Drosophila melanogaster: one gene and its partner. The protein of the gene in region 1 interacts with the protein of each later gene in a pairwise test. Each region holds a gene or a part of one and is shown in the gene's direction. Other genes may lie near its edges. The genes, in order: Ccp84Af and Jhbp1.

The links.
Region 2: the proteins of Ccp84Af (region 1) and Jhbp1 interact in a two-hybrid assay, tested with the Drosophila melanogaster proteins (one large-scale study listed by BioGRID).

The regions. Positions count from the first base shown.
Region 1 is NT_033777.3:6,688,969-6,692,371, reverse strand, and holds Ccp84Af (Ccp84Af), read left to right. Parts: upstream 1-2,132; 5' UTR 2,133-2,185; coding exon 2,186-2,197; intron 2,198-2,255; coding exon 2,256-2,699; 3' UTR 2,700-2,770; downstream 2,771-3,403. Other genes in the region: Ccp84Ae, read left to right, coding at 669-680, 799-1,413.
Region 2 is NT_033777.3:4,963,650-4,969,210, forward strand, and holds Jhbp1 (juvenile hormone binding protein 1), read left to right. Parts: upstream 1-1,795; 5' UTR 1,796-1,934; coding exon 1,935-1,998; intron 1,999-3,479; coding exon 3,480-3,589; intron 3,590-3,971; coding exon 3,972-4,386; intron 4,387-4,448; coding exon 4,449-4,600; 3' UTR 4,601-4,836; downstream 4,837-5,561.

The DNA.
Region 1 (3,403 bases):
TAAATTAAAATTATTATTTTTTATCACCCACCTTTGGTTTCCAAAATTTGAAGATAGTTCACAGGCGAACAGCTTTTTAACATGCTTAAAACTTTTTTTTGTAACATATTTGTAATATTTTATGTAGGTTAATAAAATTATACAACTTTGTAGGAAATGTGTTTTAAATACATAATAATCAAATTATGATCCCAACATAAAATATTCATTATACCTCACCAAGACAAACCTATGGATACAAACTCAAAACGTATTTAATAATTTGACTAGCAAATATTTAAACAAATAAGATCAGAACTTTTATTCCCTTTTTATAAAAAATGGGTTCAATTATACACACTTACTTTGTTGTACTTTCCAAAAGAAAAACAACAAAATTGAATAAGAAGACTCCAAGTTTAAGGAAAATAGTAATTAAAATTGGCTTGGCGTAATCAATTAAGTGCAGCTGGTTATTTCGACCGATCGAAATTGGCAGAACTGAAGAAGGTGCGTGACAATTTTTACATGCCACCGGCGCCGCTCGAGGTGATGCGCCAAAAATGAATTCCAATTAGGTGTCATCAATGTCACCAAGTAGCGTATAAAATAAACGGCCCACAATGGGTCAGACATTCAGTGTTTGGCTTCGGCTCAAGACAGCAGTTAATCAAATTCATCCAACTACAATGGCAGCAAAGGTTTGTGCTACCAATTGGAGGATAAACGTTCCGGGGGACTACTAGTGGATTACCAGACTGCCTTCGCCTTTTTATCTTGGAAAAAAAAATCCTAAAAAGAGTGTAATTTATTCCGCAGATTGTTATCGCTTTGGCTCTGTTCGCCGTGGCCCATGGCGCCGTCCTTAGAACTGCTGCTCCAGTGGCAGTGGCTTCTGCTCCGGTGCCAGTTTTGGCCAAGACCGTTGAGTTGGAGGAGGTTGATCCGCATCCTCAGTACACCTACAGCTACGACGTGCAGGACACGCTTTCCGGCGACAACAAGGGGCATGTGGAGGAGCGCGATGGTGACGTGGTCCGCGGCGAGTACTCCCTGATCGACGCCGATGGCTTTAAGCGCACCGTGACCTATACCGCCGATTCCATTAACGGATTCAACGCCGTCGTCCGCCGTGAACCCCTTGCCGCTGTTGTGGCCGCCGAGCCGTTGCTGAAGGTTGCTGCCCCATTGGTCAAGGCCGCTCCAGTCGCCCCCATCGCCCCTGTCGCCTTGGCCGCACCAGCTCCCATTGTGCGCTCCGCTCCAGTGGCCGTCGCTGCTCCTCTGATCAAGTCCGCTCCCCTAGCAGTTGCCGCTCCGTTCGTCCGCTCCGCCCCTCTGGCGGTGGCTGCTCCCGCTCCCGTTCTGCGTACCGCTGCCTATGCCACGCCTCTGCGGTACACCGCCCCTGCGTACACCGTCGCCCAATTGTAAACACCCATGCGACCGCTGTTATTTTGAACCCTTGTTTTGTTTCTATGATAATAAAATGTGATTTGATATGTTAATTTGAATTGTGGTTTTATTTGGGCTTAGAAATTAAGTTATATTTTTACCAACTCAATTGAAATTCAGTTCAAGCATATTTCAAAGCTTTCTTAATTGTTCCCATGATTTGACTAGTATCCGTAAAAACTCTTATTTAATCCATCAGTTTGCTTTTAAGCAGACTAACTTATTCTTGATTCTTGAAGTGTGCATTGAAATATATTTATTATTATCGTCTAATGTGCTTTTCAATTCAAAGTATGTAATCAGTGTAGGTCAGTTCCAAGCGTTTTGAGCTGCCCGGTAACATGATATACCACTCAAGGCAGAATGGTGAAAGCATTTAATTCGCAATAGGCACCAAAATCCGAGGGTCTCTCCCAAGACACTAAGCCGCACTAGATTTGGATGCGGATTGCATAAAAGTATCTCTGGCCCCCGGCGTGGGCAGTTGTAAGTGCCCATATTCCAGTCGATAAAGTAATAAGGTAAATAGCATAGCGGTAATACAATAATAAATGTATAAAATAAAAAGTGACAAAAATGATTTGCCCAACAGCGAATTAATCAGTTTCAATTCGTTATTCGCATTTTGCTTTGCACACGTTCAGTGGGTATAAAAAGCAAAGCTCGTGTTCCAGTAAATCATTCCACAGCTTCACCGTCTTCGCAGCAGTTAACGGATAACCACCACCAGCCCTCCTCCAAGTCCAGAGCCATGGCCTTCAAGGTGGGTAATCCTTACATGAATATCCGATCCTTTCAATTACCCCTCTTTTCTCCCACAGTTCTTCGCTGTTCTCGCCCTCATCTCGGCCGCCAGTGCCGGAGTTCTTCCCGTCCAGCAGGTGTATCACGCCGCCCCCGCCGTGGCCACCTACGCCCAAGCACCTGTCGCCGTTGCCCACGCCCAGCCGGTTCTGACCAAGGCCACCGAGGAATACGATCCCCATCCCCAGTACAAGTTCGCCTACGATGTCCAGGACTCCCTTTCCGGAGACTCGAAGAGTCAGGTTGAGGAGCGTGATGGCGACGTGGTCCATGGCGAGTACTCCCTGATCGATTCCGATGGCTACAAGCGCATTGTCCAGTACACCTCCGACCCGGTCAACGGTTTCAACGCCGTCGTCAACCGCGTTCCCCTGGATCACGTGAAGACCGTGGTGAAGACCGTGGCTCCTGTGGCCGTGGCTGCTGCCCCTATCCCAGTGGCCTACCACCAGCACCACTGAGGAACTCTCCTACTGATTTGTTGAATCCGTTTGTAGATCAAATAAATTGTTGAATATTTGTAAGCTGAAAGAAATCGAAACGCATTTTTCTTTACGTCTTGTAAGGGATCTCGCTCATTAGCAGGCATTAGTCAATCAAAATATTATACATATATTTATATATTGTATTGTTAAAGTAAATTCGTAATATTGAAAAAATCTAAGAATTACAAGTTACACAAAAGCACCCAGTAAGCAACTTAGATGACCATCAAGTGGGAGCCCGCCTGGTACCAACGAAAAACGTCACTGGAGCTGCTTACTCTGCATCACCTTGGCTCCTCTTAAATCCCTCTCCAGCATATGCACTTTGTAATCAATTTTCTGCCGGTAATAAGTCATTAAGGGCCCAAATTGATCAGGCGTTCGCGTCCGACCCATTTTACACCAATCAACGAAAATTGGGGTAGACATCCGATCGGAAAGAAACGCATCGATCGGAACATTTCAATAAAACCATCTGCGTCGAAGGCTTATTGAATTTAATGCATGTAATGCGGTCCGCTCTTGAAAACCAGTTAAGGTCACTATGCTGCAGCTTTGAAGTGGCCAGAAACCTTTCGCCAAGTCCCTCGATTATTGGGGTCCACTTGAGAATGATATACGCGACATCATGGGACCCAAACTACATATTCTCCTTATCTGACCAGCCAGCCGACTTTCCA
Region 2 (5,561 bases), 1.7 Mb from region 1:
TGGAGTCTGGAAGTGTCTGGGATAACTGGTTTGCTGGTGGATTGCGTTGATCTAAGTTCCTGCAAAGTGTGTTTACTATTAATGAGTGGAATTTGCCATAGGTTTTGGTTTTTGACATCTTCTGAGCTCACCCCAACACCTTTCCATATATGCTTAGTCACTTGGATAATTAAGGCATTCGTATGGCCAAGCGAAATACTTAGTGAGGTGGAAATCGCTGAGAACAACAATTCGGAAATAAAACAATAAGACTTTGAATGTATTCTGCTTCCTCCTCTTCGCATTTCACTAAGCGCTGTCATTATTCGCAGCCGTCTTTTGTGAAGACACATTTACACATTGAGATGTATTTATAACCACCTCTACCCGCATTCAGAGCTACATAGACGTGACAACGGGCTTTAGAATCGGCGCAGAGGCCTTTGTATGACAAATAAGACTTCCCATCGAGTTCCCCGATACTTCCCCATTACTCTATTTGTTTGTGTTCAGGGCCATTGTAAACAGTTTAAGAGTTCAGTATGTTCCGATCGCAGGGCAAAGTATGGTGCCATAGTTCTCCGCAAACCTAAGTACCTGGCACACAGAGAAAAAATATGGATGAGTATGATTAGTAAGCTGGTTGCCAACTGTCTGGCTTGTTAACAAATCCCAGTAGGTTGCTCTTCCTGGTGAACTTTCATTTAGAACTCAGTGGATCTATGTTGGAACCCGTTCAGTTGAGTAGCCCATAAATAATTCATATTAGGCGCGAGGAAAGTGATTCGATGAACAACAGGTAATAGTATTTTTAGTTCTCCATCTGAACTGTGCATTTAAATCCACTGCTTATAAGCAAACATTCTACAAGTCTAGGGGAACATTGCAAGCTTAGTCAGTGGGTAGTTGGCTGGGGGGAGGTAAACAACCAATCACTTGGGCTGTGAGTTCAATTTACACACTGAATGATATTAGTCGGCAAACATGAAAGAATGGATAAGAATTCTATAATTAAGAGCTCTGGCTAAAAGAAGTCCGAGTATTGGACATTTTTCTCCCTGATATAGATTTCAAATTGAGGGGTATTACGCTGAACAGGGTATTCCAAGAGTCAGGGCTATCTAATTTCTGTTCTCGCCGTATAAGCACACAACTATTATCTCACTCTAATGGACAATTAAAGCGCCACACACATTTTTAATTAGCGACGGAGACATTTTCACGAAAACAGGTAAACGCGGCTCGCCTCGTTACGGTTTTAAGAAGACTCGAATTCAATGTATCCCAAGGTTATTGGAATAAAAGGAAGCGACTCGCTTGATGCGTTTTATGGCTTAAAAGATAAATAGGTTTGCTCCGCGAATATTTCATTTCGAATGGGTTCTGCTCACGAGCAATTAGAAGTTATCCATTTCTTTCGCAAGCCGCGATCAGGGTTCGCACGGCCGAAGGTTGACCAAATGTGCAGTTTATCTGCACCTCTGCAGGCAGGCGGTTGCGAAAATAGAGTTGCCTAATTGCTTTTATGCCACTCGACAAGTGGGCAAACAAACCAAAATCTTGCACAGAAGCCAAGAAGACAGCTTTACATTCGGTCAGTCAGTCAGTCAGTAGCCCATGCAGATTCCAACTCTATATATACATATCTATATACATATATAGATATATATGTATCTGCCCAGATCGGCAGACTCTAAGTTCTCTGCCGACGTCGACGGCGGGATGGAGATCGGCTTGGTTTGCATCTCGTTTCTGCGATCTGCCATCTGCGATCAGCAGCTTTGGGGCTTTAAAATCGGCTATCGACCGGCAAGCAGCTCGCAGTTTAAGTTCTCAGCTTCGCATCGACGGACGTTCGAGCACTCCACCCGCAGAAAGTTGATAGCTTCAGATTCCGACTTCGTTGCGTGCTGCTGCAGATTGAGATTCATATCCGGAAGTTGTTCTTGAGTGAAATGAATAAAGCGGTGTGCCTAGTAATCGTGATCCAAGCATTGCGGATGGTGCAGGCCGAGACCCGTAAGTTGTCTCTCTTAAGCGGTCGGTGGTGGTGAAGAAAATGATTAGTGAAAAGATTAGTACTGCCAATTAGAATCCGCTGAATAATAGTGCTGCCATGATTGGCCTGTTAATGGAAGGAGACTTTGATCTATTGTTATTAGCTTGAAGATGAATGACTAATAGTCTGAACTAACGAAGTGCAGTAAATACAACAAATTACTGAGCCAGATGATTACAAATTGTTTTGGGAGAATATTTAAAAATGCAAATTGTTGTTGGTGACCTGAAAAACGTAGCTTTTCGGCGTAGTTCGGCGACCCATGGCTCATTGAATAAGCCTCAGATTTTTTACAAATTCTCTGGTTCGATTTGTGTCTTTATATTAACAAGAGTCTCTACTTAAATATACACAGGCGTATATTACTTACCTAATTTATTGCGTATTAAACTGATCGCCAGGATTTTTGTCGAACTCATAAATTGCCAAGAGGGCTTAGTTGTGGGCGCATTCTACTCGTATAAAGTGGAATTAGCACTTTCGTTCGCTTCTCACACTTGCTGTGGAGCGTTTGCGAAATGCCATCACATCTTTTGGAATATGTCAAATGTCAAGTTTACAGCCTTTTCTCTCTTTCTCTCTCCTCCCCCCCCCCCCTCCACCAAAGCACTCGACGGGATGTTAATTGCGTGAGGCGACATGGTTTTGTTAGGCAAATGCAAGAAACAAAACAAAAGGGGGACAAACGGCCGGCATTTCAGCCGATGAGTTTTAGCCGAAGTTTGCTTCCGCATCGCACTCGAAACACGCTGAGCTCACAAATGTAAGCGCTCAAAATGCGGACTGTGAACCAAATCCATACTTAATTAACGACTCGCCGTGGCCGTTGGTCAGCCTTCAACTTGAAATCTTAATCGCTGCCGCTGCAGCTCGCCTTGCCATCGAATGGCGCTAATGAAACTGCCCAGGCACCAAGTCCGCGTTAATGATAAACCAGCTATACATAAATAATAGTCGCTCTGGCCGCGAATGTGTGTCATGTGCCACAGAATTGCGGCCACAACAGGTTCTAGACGTGCACTCCGTGGCAGCCTTGCCATCGAAACTAAGCCGACTCGAGATCTTGATTTTGATCTCGATCGGATTTGGAGGTCACTGCGGCATCGCGATTGCACTGAGCAGAGTCTCTGCAGAGTCGATGAACTTTACAGGAATTGAATCGGCGGATGGTGTTGATCTTCCGTTTTGTTGGCAATTCTGAGTGTTTTCTTCCGGCTGCGCTGAAAAACATTAACAAATCAATGAATATTTGATATTTTTTTATTTGTTTTTATCACCTCCTACCATCTTGTTTGCTAATTTCCAGATTGCTAAAGCCGTGAGAACTAGCAAACCAAATCTATTTGTTTGTTTTTTGGACTCATAAATTAGAACTTTTAGGGGTGACGACTTATGCCCTATGATTATAACCAACTACAAATTTTCGCATTATTTTTTACAGCGCCCTATATTAAACAATGTCATAGGAACGACCCGAAATTGGTGGACTGCTTTATCGGAGCTATTGAACACCTAAAGCCATATTTGGCCAATGGCATTCCTGATATTCAGGTGAGTGACTTTTCTCCTATGAGTGCCAGAGGTGATTTCTTTGAAAACTTGTTTTGAGTTGCGTAAGAGCAGCTCGAATGAAAGTCATTGTGAGTTTCGCACTTGCATAATGAGTGTTTTCGCAGGAAAAATCCGACGTTCACTTTCCGCACAGTGGTGCAACAATGAACACAAAATGAACCCCTTTGAAGGTCATTAGGCAGATTGTCAATTTATTTTCTCCTAAACAAACTTTGTTGTAAGGGTGAATCCCACCGAAAGCCATTACCGAATCACATGATATGATGAATTTATGATAATTGCACACTCAGGTCAAAGCCCAAATTAAAACGTTAAAATGTTTGCAATACGCGTTTAATCCCACTGTCTCGTCCCTTGGCAGCTGCCCTCTGTGGAGCCCTTTAAGATGGACACCCTTGCCCTGCAGTTAACAGAGGGTCCCCAGGGGTATAAGATCACGCTGAAGAACATGGAGGCCTTCGGGGCCAGCAACTTCAAGGTGACATCCCTGAAACTGAGCGAAGGAAGCGAGCCCTTCAAGGCGAAGATCGTGATGCCCAAGCTAAAGATTGAGGCTAAATACACGAGCTCCGGGGTCCTGCTGATCCTGCCCGCCTCCGGAGGTGGGGACTTCCATGCTAACTTCGAGGGTGTGAGTGCCGATCTCACAGGAAAGACATCCATTCACGCCTTCAAGGGCGCTAACTACCTCCACATCGATGCTCTCAGCTTGGTTCTGGATGTGAAGGATGTGAAAATGAGCATCTCAGGTGCCTTCAACAACAATCGAATTCTGCGTAAGTGTCCCCTTAATTCCCTGCCAAAATGTGAGATTTCAATATCGTTTCTTATTTCACAGTGGAGGCCACCAATCTGTTTCTGCGGGAAAACTCTCAAGTCGTTTTGGAGGCTATGCAGGCTCAATTGCAGAAAAAATTGGCTAGCGAGTTCGGCAAACTCGCCAACCAGCTCCTGAAGAATGTTCCTGTAGAGCAATTCTACGTGGACTAGGCCTTAATCCCTTAGATTGTAGTTCGTTAGTCTTATGTATATATATGTATTTAACTCTAAATTACACTCCAATGCTATGAACCAAGTATTAAATTGTACATGTATATGGTGTAAACTCTGCGCATTTGTCTGGGTCAATAATGTCCTAGATTCCGATGATAATAAAACTCATAAGTTTAATCATCAATTATTATTATTTGCATTGCGTAGAGTCGTATTCACCCTGTGAAATCAATAAAAAATTCTTGAATATGTACATATAGAAATTTACGATGGAGAATACTTTTCTTCCATTTTTATCAATTTTACAACGCCGTAACATGGGAAATCTTTGCATATACAAAAATCAACTATCCAGTCGTCATGTCATGTAATAGTACACATGACTCTACCCGTAAATTGGAATATTTGCTCAAGAAAATTGGTTATAATGTGCTGACGGCTATCTAAGGAAGTTCAAATTTGGTTGATATCTTAGTATGCGGATTAGATTTACCATACACTAATTTTAGGGTTTTGTGCTTCAGCTGTATCATCTGCATAGTTAGAAAACATCATTATATACAAAAAAAATTGGAAAAAAGGTCATAGTGTTCTAGTTTTTGATATTGCGAATACGCAATTTGTTAGCTAATACCAAACATATGCCCTTATTTAAATAAAAATATGAAAGGTATAGAAATTCAAACTTGATGTTTAAGGGATCATTCACCCTTTAGGCGGATACAAATTTATTACTTTTGCTATATGCAAAACTAAACTAACTAAATTTTATTATTAATTATTTAATTAAATAAATCAAAAGGCGCATCAGAACAATTTAATTTTATGAATTTTATAATTTTTATCTGTAAATTGTATAGTAATTGTATCGCGTTAATAGATGTGTCAAAGGAAATGTACACACAATTATCAACAGGAATATATTTGGATGCAATGAGATTGAATGAAAAGGTATTTA